Anolis sagrei: one gene and its partner. The protein of the gene in region 1 interacts with the protein of each later gene in a pairwise test. Links are inferred from orthologs where the notes say so. Each region holds a gene or a part of one and is shown on either strand. Other genes may lie near its edges.

Region 1 (6,830 bases):
GTCAAAGGGAAGCCCCCGACTGCAGCGCTACAACCCCCCCGTGCTCCGATAGACCGGCAACGCACCTGTAAGGCAGCCTCTCGTAATGCAGCTTCTGCAGGGCGGCAAAGTGGTAGCGGGGCTTGAGGCTGGCGGCCAAGAGGGAGACCAGCTCTGAGCTGCCGGGCGCCTGGCTCTGGACGGGGCCCTGCGAGGGGAAGCGCACGCGCCTCAATCACAGGCTTCCCTTTGAGAAGGTTTCAGAAGGTTCACCCAACAGGTCCCCCAAAACTCTGGGTGAGAGGAAGGTCTGCCCCTTCAGACACAAAGCTCATTAGAAGAAGAAAGAAGATGGAGGGAGGGAGGAAGGAAGGAGGGAGGGAAGGAAGGAAGAAGGAAAGAAGAAAGCAGGATGCTTTTATGTAGATGCGGCCCGCTCTCTGCCATTATGTTTGGCTTCTATGTTCTGCGTATATTGTTTTATATGTCTTGATGTTTTATACCTCAATGTTATGTTGATTATTTTACTGCAATTTGTATTTTCATATTGTGGTTTGTTGTTCGGGCTTGGCCCCACGTAAGCCGCTCCGAGGCCCCGTTGGGGAGATGGTGGCGGGGTATAAATAAAGTTTATTATGATTATATTATTTTGGAGGAAGGAAGGATTGAAAGAAAGAAGGAGGAAGGAAGGAAAGAAGATGGATGGATGATGGACAAAGGAAGGAAGGAAGACAAGAAGGAAGATGGATGAACAAAGGAAGGAAGGAAAGAAGCCAGATGTCTGGAATTCTGGGACGTAGAGATGCCTTGTCTTGGGAAAAGCATCCAAGCAAGGGAGCTTCCTGCTGACCTTTGGGCTGAAAAAGCCCAATTGGCCTGCTCCCCCCCCCCCCGAGAGATTTGGGCAACCTTTATGGTGCCAGCATATTGCTCTAGGGCATTGTTTGTAAGACTCACCGGGGCGTTGTTTGCAAAGGCCTGGACACCCCTGGGCCAGGGAGAGGTCAGCAGGATGTCCACGCCTTTGAAGCCCGGAGCAGAGAGCAAGGAGGCCCGGAGCTCAGCCACATCGTGGGCGCTGAAGCTGTGGGCCGGGGCCGGCTCTTGCGTGGACTCGGTGCCACTCAGGTAGGCGATCTGCAGCCCAGAGGCCCCACTGAAGACGCCCTTGCGGCCTGGGAGCGTGGGGCACAAAGGATGGAAGTAAAGGCATGAGAAGAATGCAATGTTAGGACACAAATGGGCACTCAGGCAGGGAACGGCAACCACACGCTGGCCCGCAAAAAGCACTGCACCAAATTTCAGACGCAAGACCCTTAAAAATCTTGCAACTGGGACCAGACCCACAGTCCTGACAATTACGGCCTAGGCAAGGTTGCTTTTTGCTACCAAAACTGAGCAGCAATAAAGTTCTCAACTCTGAGGATGCTTGCCATAGATGCAGGTGAAACGTCAGGAGAGAATGCCTCTAGAACATGGCCATATAGCCCGAAAAAACCTACAACAACCCAGTGATTCCGGCCATGAAAGCCTTCAGCAATACAAGTTCTCAACTATTTTGCTACAAAAACAAAGTGCCAATTGGTTTGCTATCAAAACAAAGTACCAAGAAAGTTCCCACTGCTTTTGCTACCAATATAAAATATCAATAAAGTTCCCACTTGCTTTTGTTACCAAAACAAAGTATCAATAACGTTACCAATTGCTTTTGCTACCAAAATAAAATATCAATAAAGTTACCAATTGGTTTGTTACCAAAACAAAGTACCAAGAAAGTTCCGAACCCCTTTTGCTACCAAAACAAAGTATCAATAAAGTTACCAATTGCTTTTGGTACCAAAACAAAGCACCTAGAAAGTTCCCACTGCTTTTGCTCTGCACTCACCCAGGTAAGTGATGTTCTCGGCCAGTTCGCCTCCACCGGGATCCGGGAAGTGTCCAGCCGTTTCCTCGTTGTTGGCGCCCAGGATGAACGTCGGGATGGGAGCTGAGGGAGGGAGCAAGGAGAGCTTGCGGGGAGGAGGCTCATCTACAGACATATTCTATATTCCATATCTATCTAAAGATACATTCTGTTTTGATGGTAGAACCAATTAGGAAAGGATGACACTGATTACCCAAGAACAAAAATTGGGCTACATAGTGCTATTGCAATTTTATATTATTATTATTATTATTATTATTATTATTATTATTGTATTTTATACCTTATTATATAATATTGCAATATTATTTTACTGTAACATTATAGATTATTGTATTATTATATATTATGATGATTATATGATTGACTTTTGCTCTTGTTGTGAACCGCGTTGAGTCGCCTACGGGCTGAGAAACTGCGGTATACAAGCAAAGTAAATAAATAAATAATAAATTATATCATTGTGGTAGTATTTTATGTTTTGCCCCATATTATTATAATTATATTATTTTTATTATTGCACAAATATTATATGTTATAGTATTATAATATATATATATATATATATATATATATATTAGGATTATATATATTTAGCATTAATATTACATATTATAATTGTATCATTATATTATTATATATCACTTATTACTGTTGTAGTACTATTATCATATTATATGCTATTATAATGGTAATATATATTATTGTTTTATATACGATTGTATAGTATTGCAGCATTAGTATTATCATTATTGTATCATTATATTACTGAATATTACCTATTATTATTCTAGTATTATCATATTATATGATATTATAATGTTTATATCTATTAGTTTTTCTAGTTACATATTTATATATTATTATTACTGTATTATTATACAATATTGCTTATTTCATATTATTATTATTATTATTGTATGCTGCTTTATTATATACTTGCTAGACTTCGTTGCCATGGCGACAAACTCACCCTTCTTGGCCCCGCCCCGGAAGTCCTCCCACTCGGGGTCGCGCGCGGAGCCGAAGAAGCTTCCGGCGCAGAGCAGGAGCTGCGGGGAAAGGCGGAGGAGAGGCGTGAGAGGGCGCATGCGCGGGCAGGCAAAGGGCGGAAGTGACGTCGCGCGCGCCTACCTCGAAGGGCCCGCTCTTCTTCTGTACGGCGCGGACGCGGGCGAAGAGCGCCCCCAGGCGGCCCTCCACGTCGCCGCACACCAGCCTGCCGGGAGACAGAGACGGAAAGAGGAGAACCGTCAGGAAGGCCCGCTCGCCCGCCCGCCCACCTTCCCTGGGCGCTTCCCTTCCCTCACTCACAGGCGGAGCGGCTTCTCGGGCGGCGCCATCTTGGGTGGGAGAGGAAGTGGAGAAAGCGCAGTGGCGTCACTTCCGGCGCGAAGTCAGTTCTACGCCTGCGCAGTGCAACTTTAGTTCACCGTTCCCTCCTTAGCTGACGCATGCGCAGAAAAAGTGGGATACAAAGTGCCCCTTTTCCTGCAGTTTGAATTCATTCAACCTATTTCACATTTGACCTTGAAGGAGCCGGGGGTGGTGACGGCCGACAGGGAGCTCTGGCGTGGGCTGGTCCATGAGGTCACGAAGAGTCGGAGACGACTGAACGAATGAACAACAATTTCACCTTATTTCCATGCGCAAAGGCCGCCGGGAGTTGTAGTCCCAGAGCGTCACTCCACCTCGTCTGACGTACAGGCCCGCTAGGGGGCGGGGACTACGGCCAATCGGGTTCAGACTTTGCCCCCGTTATTCCCGCCCCTCTCCCGGCTTGGCCAATGGGAGGGAAGGGAGGTCGGGGAAGCGGAACTAACGGGCGGAGGGAGCGGCAGGTGAGCGGGGAGAGCGGGCGGCTCTTAAAGGGGACGCCGCCGGTATTATTGATGGTAGGGTGGCTTGGCCCCTGAGCGTGTGCAGAGTGCCCTATGAGCGACCCGGCCGCGTTCCTTCCTTCCTCCCTTTTTCTCTCCGCAGGCTGAGGGCCGCGTTGCTGCGGATGCGCCTGCGCAGGAGCCTGGCCCTCGTGAGGGGGCTCTGCGGGAGGGGGCGAGCCATGGCCGCGCGGAGAGATGGCGTCACTACCGGGACAGAGGGGGAGGGCGAGGGCGGCGACGTCACTGCCGGGATCATCATCATTGGCGACGAGATCCTGAAGGTGAGCCGGAAGTGGCCTCTCTGGGCGGAGACTCGCATCTCTCTGGCCCGAGTCTGAGTCCTGAACAGGCCCAGAGCTGGTCACGTGGCCTGCAGCCCCGCCCACCACACAGAGTTCAGGAAAAGACAAGACACACACACACGATACAGTAAACAATCTGAATCATACACGTGATAAATAACTATTTATTTATTTACGACGTTTGTATGCCGCCCTTCTCACCCCGAAAGGTATATATTACATACAATATATTATATTATTAGCATAGTATATTAGATATTAGCATAGTACAATATCAGCATTAAACATTGCAGCATACCACTATATCGTAATATTATAAGGAAAAGACAAGATACACATATACAATACAGTAAACAATCTGAATAATAATAATAATAAATAAAACTTTATTAATACCCCGCTGCCACCATCTCTCTCCCCAAGGGACTCGGAGCGGCTTACATGAGGCCGAGCCCAACAACACATCAATAACAAAAAGCAATAAGCAAATAAAACAATACAATGAATATAAATCGCATATAAACAACAACAATAATACACATGACAAATAACTAGTCTCGGAGGCTTGTAGAAGGCGGCTCTTCCCAAGACCATCTAGCCCAGTCATGAGCAAATAATAATATTTTATTTTTATTATTTATTTTATTTCGGTTTCTTCTACCCGGCCCTTCTGACCCCGAAGGGGACTCAGGGCGGCTTACAAAGCCACAATTCAACGCCAACATCACATAACAACAATAAGACAAAATAACATCAATTAAACAGTTGAAACAGTTAAACAACAATTCCTGCATTACAACCCTAAAACTGATAAAACCAATAAAACAATACAAACCCAATTACTCCTCATTGACGGTCAGCATTAACTATCTCATAGTCGAAATTCCATTTCCACATTATCAGTCCTAATCGTCTGATTGTCCTTATCTAGTTGTCAGATTGCCCAAAGGCCTGGTCCCACAACCACGTCTTTACTTTCCTCCTGAAGGAGAGGAGAGATGTTGACGACCTAATTTCCCCCGGGAGAGAGTTCCACAGGCAAGGGGCCACCACTGAGAAGGCCCTGCTCCTCGTCCCCACCAACCTCACTTGTGATAGTGGTGGGGTCGAGAGCAGGGCCTCCCCAGATGATCTCAAACTCTGGGGTGGGACGTACAGGGAGATGCGTTTGGACAGATACACTGGACCTGAACCGTACAGGCTTTTGTAGGTCAAAACCAGCACCTTGAATTGTGCTCAGAACTGAACCGGCAGCCAGTGGACCTGACACAGCAGGGGGGTGGTGTGCTCCCTGTATGACGCTCCAGTGAGCAGTCTGGCTGCTGCTCGCTGGACCAATTGAAGTTTCCGAACAGTCTTCAAGGGCAACCCCACGTAGAGTTGTGCGTATAATAATAATAATAAACTTTATATATACCCCGCCACCATCTCCCCAAAGGGGACTCGGGGCGGCAAACGTGAGGCCAAGCCAAAGAGTTACAATGCCGCAAAGTAACATGCAACAAACAGGTAATAACACCAAATAAAATGCAAACAACAACAGGTATACAATAAGCAAGCACAACTGAAAAAAATTGGTCGTGTCAGAAGCGACCTGAGAAACTGCAAGTCGCTTCTGGTGTGAGAGATTTGGCTGTCTGCAAGGACGTTGCCCAGGGAACACCTGGATGATTTGATGTTTTATCACCCTTGTGGGAGGCTTCTCTCATGTCCCCTTTGCACGAGGAGCTGGAGCTGATAGAGGGAGCTCATCTGCCTCTCCCCAGACTCGAATCTACGACCTGTCGGTCTTCAGTCCTGCCGGCACAAGGATTTAACCCACTGCGCCACCCATCGGGGGCTCCACAACTAAAATGATGGAAGATTACAAACGGAGTGGGTGGGCTAACTTCGGCCCTCCAGGTGTTTGGGATAGGCTGATAGGAATTGTGGGAGTTGAAGTATTTATTTTTTTATTTGCAACATTTATATGCTGCCCTTCTCACTTCAAAGATACAAGATATATATACATACATTATATTATATTATTAGCATAGCACAAAATCAGTATTACATATTACTATATTGTACTAGACCATCAAGAGGTACCGCTTCTGCGGGAAGAGAATGGGCACTCCATGGAGTCATGCTGGCCACATGACCTTGGAGGTGTCCACGGACAATGCCCACTCTTCAGCTTAGAAATGGAGATGACCCCCAGAGTCACAACTAGACTTAAGGTCAAGGGGAAACATTTTCCTCGTTATTGTTATTATTCCCTTAGTGTTGGAAGGACAAGTCTCCTCCGACTTGTCCTTCTGGGCCCTTATCCCCCCCCCCCCCCCCTCGCTCTCCTTAGGGCTACACTCAGGACACGAACTCCTTCTTCATGTGCAAGGTGCTGCGCTCGCTGGGTGTCCGCGTGGCCAGGATCTCGGTGGTGCCGGACGACGTGGCGGCCATCGCAGGAGAGGTCTCCTCCTTCTCCACCCGGTTTTCTTTCGTCCTGACCTCGGGGGGTGTTGGCCCAACACATGATGACGTCACCTTCGAGGCGGTGGCCCAGGCCTTTGGGGAGCGGACCACCCCGCACCCGGAGATGGAGGCGCTGGTGGAGCGCTTCTTTGGCCGGTCGGAGGCCGCCGGCTCCGGGGCTGCCAAGCTGGCCCGCCTGCCCCCCTCCGCCCTCCTCCACTACGGCGTGGACAAGGCCACCGGCCAGAGGCTGCCCTTCCCGCTGGTCAGCGTCCGCAACGTCTACGT
Region 2 (7,701 bases), on another chromosome or scaffold:
GATTAGAAAAGACAGAACAGATACATTTAGGGCTCTAAATTCTGATTCCAGGTCTACTCATTTTACTGAACTGAGTAATTCTGTACATGATCAAAGTGTAATACTGTAGTTCTGTGCAACTCTACTTGAATCCAGTAAGGCTGACTTTTCTGTTAAATATGCATAAACTTGTGCTATATGTTGTATACCCAGGGCCAGCCCAAGATATTTCACCATCTAGACAGTTTCTCAAGTTGCTCCTGACAAGAAAATAAAATAAAATCTCAGCACATAACAAATGACATCCTCCACCCACTGAGATAGTCAATAGAACTCAGTGCCAACAGAATGATTTGGGTTCAAAAGTCAAAACAATTCATAAAGATCCTTCCTCATTCTTGGCAATAAAAATCTAATCATGATAACGTTCCTGTTATGATGCTGAAATCTGCACATGGCATAGCAACACTGGCCCCTTCTACAGAGCTTTATAAAATGCAGATTATCTGCTTTGATTATATGGCAGTTTACTCAGATAATCCCATTCAAAGCAGATAGTGTGGATTATTTGCCTTGATATTCTGGATTATATTACAGTGTGAAATGACCTCTGCATACCACTTTCGTAGACCTCCTGGATAACACAAGCTAATAGATCAGAAAGAAAAGGATTTGAGTTCTTATAATGGCAGTGACTTGAAACAGCAGTGTGTGGCTAAAGGCCCTTCTACACAGCCCTATATCCTAGAATATCAGGGCAGGAAATCCCACATTTTCTGAGTGTTGACTCAGATAACCCAGTTGAAAGCAGATGATATGGGATTTTCTGCCCTAAGATTCCTTCTTTTCATTATTGTTTAGTGACATTTAAAGTGATGGTGGACAAGTGCAACTCATTGGGTCTTTGGGTCCTTCCACACAGCCCTATATCCCAGAATATCAAGGCAGAAAATCCCACATTATCTGAGTGGACTCAGGGTCCTTCCACACAGCCCTGTATCCCAAAATATTAAGGCAGGAAATCCCAGAATATCTGCTTTGAATTGGGTTATCTGAGTCCACACTCAGATAGGATTTTCTGCCTTGATATTCTGGGATATAGGGCTGTGTGGAAGGGCCCTCAGATGACCCAGTTCAAAGCAGATATTGTGGGATTTTCTGCCTTGATGTTCTGGGATATTGGTCTGTGTGGAAGGGTCCACAGACACTACTAGGACTCTTTGTGACCATCAGGGGTCAAAATACTCTAAATTGTACCAAAATGACCTCTGGAGGACATTTCTCTTGTGTGTTCAGAGGACATCATTGAATGGTTTCATCCAACCAGGCTCTTCAATCAATTTGAACATTATGAAGGGAAGATGAAATCCCCTTGTGTACCTAGTCAAATGCCTGCCTCCCCCTCTGTTGGGATATTGGTAAGGCATATATATACTTTCCCCAGTTTTTTCTTCAGGGAAAGAAAAGCTGGATGCATGTGTCAAAAATGCCTCTAAAGGTGTAGAATTAATGCAGACTGGCACCACTTTTATTGGCAATTCAGTTTCATGATCTATGGGAATTACAGTCCAATAAATCTAGAGTGTATCATGTGAGACCAGGCTGTTGTATGCACTCATTGCTGAAAGGTATGGGAGTGTTTTTCAGGAAGCTGATTCTGTTCCAGGTACATTTGGCATTTTGATTGTATGTACTGTTCACCTAGACTTTCCAGGGCCCTTCCACACAATCCTATATCCCGGAATATCAAGGCAGGAAATCACACAATATCTGCTTTGAACTGGGTTATCTGAGTCCACACTCGGAATTTCTGCCTTGATATTCTGGGATATAGGGCTGTGTGGAAGAGCCCCCAGTCTTCTTGAACACCGAAAGAGAACAAGGCACTTCTTCCTGTTTGATGTTCATGGAAGTGTCTCTCAAATCAAACATAAAGCAGTCCTATCTCTTTCCACTTAAAACAGAAGTGTACTTTTTCATGAAGGTCATCACCAGGCTTGCCAGGCTTACTAGATCTTAAAGGGCAGTCCCTTATTGCGGGAAAATATCCCACATTCCAGGGGATGATTGCCTGGGATGTTCTGGGACCTCGGCCTCCTCCTTGGTATTTGACCTGAAGGCAAGGAGGGGACAGAGATGTCAATTGCTAAGGAGGAGTTGGGGGGGGGAGGGGCAGAAGTCCTGTCCATTGAAGTCCCTGGCCCACAAGCCCCCCCTCCCCCATGTCCCTTATTTTTCAGGAAGACACCTGACAACCCTGGTCATCGGTACTGCTGATTATATAGGAGGGGGGAAATGGTATAATGAAAACCATTTGAGCTACAGACACAAGGAAAACATTCCGTGCTTTCACTCTCCAGGAAGTTTGACAAAATACATTTTAGGGAATCTTAAGAATGTCGCTCCATCTATATTTGTATGTAAAAGAACAGCCAGCGATCAGAATTGCCAACTCATACACCCTTTTGGTATAGCAAAGGGAACAAAGGTGAATAAACACAACTGATTTTCATTAGAATTCTTCCTTTTATTAGAACCAAGGGACTACCAAGAACAAATGCCAAGTTAATTTTATGGGGCGATATGACTCTTGTTGCTGCTTGGCATATATTGACTCGCATAATAACCACATAAAACCACCTGAGATTCTTAGCCTACCTTATTATCAGTTCACCTAGAACTCATTAAAGGTACATATGGTATCTATTGCGGAGTGCAGCTTAACCAGTGTTATATTCGAGCTTGTAGTAGGAAACAGGAAATAAAATATGCTGGATGTTCTGGTATGGTTCAAAAAGGTAACAAACCCACTTTTATTGTTGCGGGTATACACCTCATATAAAGGGATGGATAGACAAAAGAAAGTTACCCAACTTTGTTACAGGACTCCCTAATGCTTTCTTGCCTTGTTTTCAAACTGTTTCCTAGATCTATGTAACTCAAGGTGTTTTTCTACCTGCCTTCTTTCTAGAAGTCATTGTTGTTGTTCATTTGTTCAGTCGCTTCTGACTCTTCGTGACCTCATGAAACAGCCCACGCCAGAGCTCCCTGTCGGCCGTCACCATCCTCAGCTCCTTCAAGGTCAAGCCAGTCACTTCAAGGACTGCGCTCTGACACCTTGAGATGCAGAACCAACCTTAAGAAATGGGGCCACCAAGTGGAGTCCACAACATGCGAGTGTGGACAAGAGCAAACCACAGACCACCTATTACAATGCAGCCTGAGTCCTGCCACATACACAATGGAGGACCTTCTTGCAGAAACACCAGAGGCACTCCCAAGTGCCAAGCTTTTTACTTTGTTTGCACTTTTAAATACATTACAACTGTATCCTCAATTTGCTTCTGACACGATGGCAAATCAGTGTTCAGAACAGCCTTTACTGAGCTGTTATTCTCGGTTCTTGAAGTTCTGCACCAGACTTCTCTGTATTTCTGCCTGTAACAAGACAGATATATAAACCCCACTTGTCCAAGTTTCCAACAGACCTTTCAACCTCTGAGGATGGCTGCGATAGATGTGGGCGAAACGTCAGGAGAAAGTACATCTGGAACATGGCCATACTGCCTGGAAAACTTACAGTAATCCACTACACACTTTGCTAACAGGTCCAAAGAGGGAGTCTCCTAAGCCAAGAAAGTGATATGGCTCCATATAACCAGGCTGCCTGTGTCTCTCTCAACAGAGGAAGTAGCTGTGGTTAAAAGACCCCTTTCTGAGTTGAGAAAGAGGTGCAGGATCTAAATCTAAATGGGATGCAACTAAGACATCTCTCAACTAAGGAAGGAGCAGATGCCAAAATGAACAAATTGGAGTCCAAAACACCTAGAGGGAAAGCTGAAGTTGGTCCATGTCTGGCATGGAGGCACCTTTCCTTGCCTTCCTTTTCTTTCCTTCCTTCCTCTTCTTTCTTCCCATGTGCCCCCCTTCCCTCCTTCCCCTTCCTTCCCTCACCTCCTTCCTTAACTTCCTACCCACCTTCCTTCCTTTCCCTTCCTTCCCCTCCTTGCTTCCCCCTCTCCGCTTCCTTCCTTTCCCTTCCCTTCCCTCCCTCCTTCCTCTTCCCTTCCCTCCTTCATTCCTTCCTTCCCTTCTCATCCTTCCTTCCTTCCCCTTCTCATACTTTCCCTTCCCTCCCTCCCTTCACTCATCTCCTTCTTTCCCATCTCCCTTTCTCTTCTCCCTTCCTTCCTTCCTCTTCCCCTTCCTTCCTTTCCCTTCCCTCCCTTCTTCCTTTTCCCTTCTTCATTCCTTCCTTCCCTTCTCATCCTTCCTTCCCTTCTCATCCTTCCTTCCTTCCCCTCCTCATCCTTTCCCTTCCCTCATCTCCTTCCTTCCCATCTTCCTTTCTTTTCTCCCTTCCTTCCTTCCGCTCCCTTTCCTTCCTCTTCCCCTTCCTTCCTTAACACTTTCCATCCAACTCTCCCCTTCTTTCCTTTCCCATCCTTCCCCTTCCCACCTTCCTTCCTTCCCCTCCCTTTGTCCTCCCCTTCCTTCCTTTCTTCCTACCTACTTTCCACCCCCCTCTCCCCTTCCTTCCTTTCCCTTCTTCTTCCTTCCTTTCCTTCCTTCTCTCACCTCTTTCCTTCCCTTTCCCTTCCATCCCCCTCTCCCCTTCCTTCCTTTCCCATCCTTCCCCTTCCCACCTTCCTTCCTTCCCTTCCCCTTCCCCTGCCTCCCTCCCTTCCCTCCTTCTCCTTCCCTCCAACTCGAGGCAGGCGCCGCCTCCTTTGCTTCTCCTTCGCTTTCTCCTTCCTTCCTTCCTTCCTTCCTCCTCCTCCTTTTCCACTCTGGGTCTGGAGGCTGGCGCCTAAGCCCGCCTCCTCGCAGCAAAGAGGCGCAGAAGGCCAGGCTGAGCGCTTTCCCTCGCTTTCCCTCCTAATCTTTTCACTTCTCCCTCTTCTTTCTTTCCTTCCTTTCTCCCCTTCTTCCTTTCTCCTCGAGGCTCCCTTCGCCGAAGATGGCCGGGCAAAGCATCGGCGAGGCCCCCAACCCAGCAGAGGCGCCGCGACGCAGCCGTGGCCGAGGGGTCGTGGTAAATTCAAAACCTCCTCCCTCCCTTTGCTTCCAAACACACAGTCAGTGAGTGCTGCCCTTGGGCCAGGCAGAACTCTCTCTCTCTTTCCTGCTGGTGCAGCCGAGGCATCCTCTGCCCGCCACGTTGTGTGTCTTCAGAGCTCACCCAAAGCTTCAGAAAGTAACTTGCAACGTGGGTTATATAATCCTCGTCCACACTAGCGAGGGAGAGATTCTGGAAGTTGCTGCTCCCAGGATTCCATAGCATTGAGCCATGGCAGCTAAAGTGGTGTCAAACTGCATTAATTCAACAGTGTAGATGCACCCATAGGAGGCTATTGTTATTTCCCTTTTACTCCTCACCCCACTCCCACTCTGTGCGTCATGCTGCTAAATGAATGCAGTTCAACAACACTTTAGCTCAGTGGTTCTCAACCTGTGGGTCTCCAGATGTTTGGGCCTTCAACTCCCAGAAATCCTAACAGCTGGGATTTCTGGGAGTTGTAAGCCAAAACACCTGGGGACCACAGATTGAGAACCACTGCTTTAGCTGTTACAAAACTATGAGTTGTTGGGTTGCTGTGAGCTTTCCAGGCTGTATGTCCATGTTCCAGAAGCATTCTCTCCTGACGTTTCTCCCACATCTATGGCAGGCATCCCCAGAGGTTGTGAGGCCATTTCTACAACAGTGGTTCCCAACCTTTGGGCCTACATGTGTTTTGGACTTCAGCTCCCACAGTTCCTAACAGTTGGCTACAGTATAGATGCACCCACATGAGGCTGTTATTTTGTCATTGTCCTCCCCCCCCCCCCAACTCACACTGTTGACTAAACAATATAAATACTTTGATTACATCTATACAGTCTGTCCCCCAAAATACATGTGCCCTTTAACACAGGCATGGTCAAACTTGGGCCCTCCATGTGTTTTGGACTTCAACTCCCACAATTCCTAATAGCTGGCACCAAGCACGTAGCCGGGGGAGGGGGGGGCTTGAGGGGCTTCAGCCCCCCCCCCCCCCAAATTCTCATGTTGGTCCACGAGGAGGCCTTACTGGTACATTATTTAAACTGTTATGTTTATTCATATCATGATCTGATCACCATGCTCAATATATCCCATATGCATGGGGGTATTGGGGTAACGATACAAAAGGTTTGCTAGGGTAGACCCTCTTTCACTCAGCCCCCCCCCCCCCCAATCAAACTCAGCTCCCCCCAAAACAAAATCCTGGCTACAGGCCTGGCCGGCACAGAAGCATTGTGCAAACTCTCTGCAAGAGAACAGAGAAGGGTGTACTGTGTAGGTCAGGCCTGGGCAAACAAGCCCTCCAATGTTTTGGACTTCAGCTCCCACCATTCCTAACAGCTGGCACAGATGCATTGGAAGCTTGTGCAAAATATCTGCAAGGGAAGAGAGAAGGGTGTTCTGTGTAGGTTAGACATGGGCAAACTTGGGCCCTCCAAGTGTTTTGGACTCCTACAATTCCTAACATCCTCAGGCCCCATACGTTTCCCACTCAGCCTCTTAAAGGGCCCAAGGCTCTTAGGAATGGTGGGAGATGAGATCCAAAACACCTGGAGGGACCAAGTTACCCCCTGCCTGCTTTAACAGCTAATGGTAGCTATGGTGACTATTTGAAATTGTTGTTGTTGTTGTTGTTGTTATTTGAAACACAACAAGACAAGTCAATGGCAGACAAGATCACTCTGCTGGCTGTTGCATTGGATCACACGTCGGACACTTCCCAAGTGTCTAGGACTGTGTGATGTATCGGCTAATAATGTGTGCAGATCCCAGTAAGGTGGCCTTCTGCAGCTGGCAGATGGTAATTGTGTCAGTGCTGATTGTGTTTAAGTGCAGGCCAAGGTGATTAGGCACTGCACCCAGTGTGCTGATCACCACTGGGACCACCTTGACTGGCTTGTGCCAGAGTCTTTGCAGTTCTAACTTTAAATCCTCATACTGTGCCAGCTTTTCCAGTTGTTTCTCTTCAATCCTGCTGTCACTGGGATTGCAACATCGACAATCCATACTTTGTTTTTTAACACGATTGTGAGGTCAGGAGTATTGTGCTCCAAAACTCTGTCTGAATTCGGAAGTCCCAGAGGAGTTTGACGTGTTCATTTTCTGTAACTTTTTCTGGCTTGTGATCCCACCAGTTCTTTGTGGCCGGCAGATGGTATTTGTGGCACAAGTTCCAATGAATAATCTGAGCAACAGTGTTATGCCTCTGCTTGTAGTCTGTCTGCGCGATCTTCTTGCAGCAGCTGATGATGTGATCTATTGTTTCACCTGCTTCCTTGCAGAGTCTACATTTGGGATCTGTTGTCGACTTTTCAATTCTGGCTTTGATGGCATTTGTTCTAATGGCATGTTCTTGGACTGCCAGAATCAGTTGTTGTTGTTGTTGTTGTTGTTGTTGTTGTTATCATCTTTATTTATATCCCACATTTCTCTCCATGGGGATTCAAGGCGGCTAACACATATACATTCATATTAAAGAATAAATGTTATAATAATTCCATCAGTTATGGGTTTCACCTTAAATTACAGTTTCATGTAAGGCAGAGGTTCTCAACCTGTGGGCCCCCAGGTGTTTTGGCCTAAAACTCCCAGGACTCTTCCACACAGCCCTTTATCCAGAATATCAAGGCAGGAAATCCCAAATTATCTGAGTGTGGACTCAGATAACCCAGTTCAAA

Evidence for each region. The genes of interacting proteins can lie anywhere in the genome.
Region 2: the proteins of FLAD1 (region 1) and PRTFDC1 interact in binary tests that used the Homo sapiens proteins (3 or more experiments, as listed by UniProt). The two-hybrid records come from large-scale screens. The link is inferred for Anolis sagrei from reciprocal best matches to the Homo sapiens genes FLAD1 and PRTFDC1.

What each region holds. Positions count from the first base shown.
Region 1 is NC_090032.1:162,720-169,549, forward strand, and holds the start of FLAD1 (FAD synthase), read left to right. Parts: upstream 1-3,826; 5' UTR 3,827-3,908; coding exon 3,909-4,067; intron 4,068-6,426; coding exon 6,427-6,830. Other genes in the region: CWF19L1 (CWF19-like protein 1), read right to left, coding at 66-187, 937-1,154, 1,865-1,966, 2,877-2,955, 3,038-3,122, 3,218-3,246. UniProt on the Homo sapiens protein: Catalyzes the adenylation of flavin mononucleotide (FMN) to form flavin adenine dinucleotide (FAD) coenzyme.
Region 2 is NC_090026.1:109,359,341-109,367,041, reverse strand, and holds the start of PRTFDC1 (phosphoribosyltransferase domain-containing protein 1), read left to right. Parts: upstream 1-4,687; 5' UTR 4,688-4,939; coding exon 4,940-5,014; intron 5,015-7,701. UniProt on the Homo sapiens protein: Has low, barely detectable phosphoribosyltransferase activity (in vitro). Binds GMP, IMP and alpha-D-5-phosphoribosyl 1-pyrophosphate (PRPP). Is not expected to contribute to purine metabolism or GMP salvage.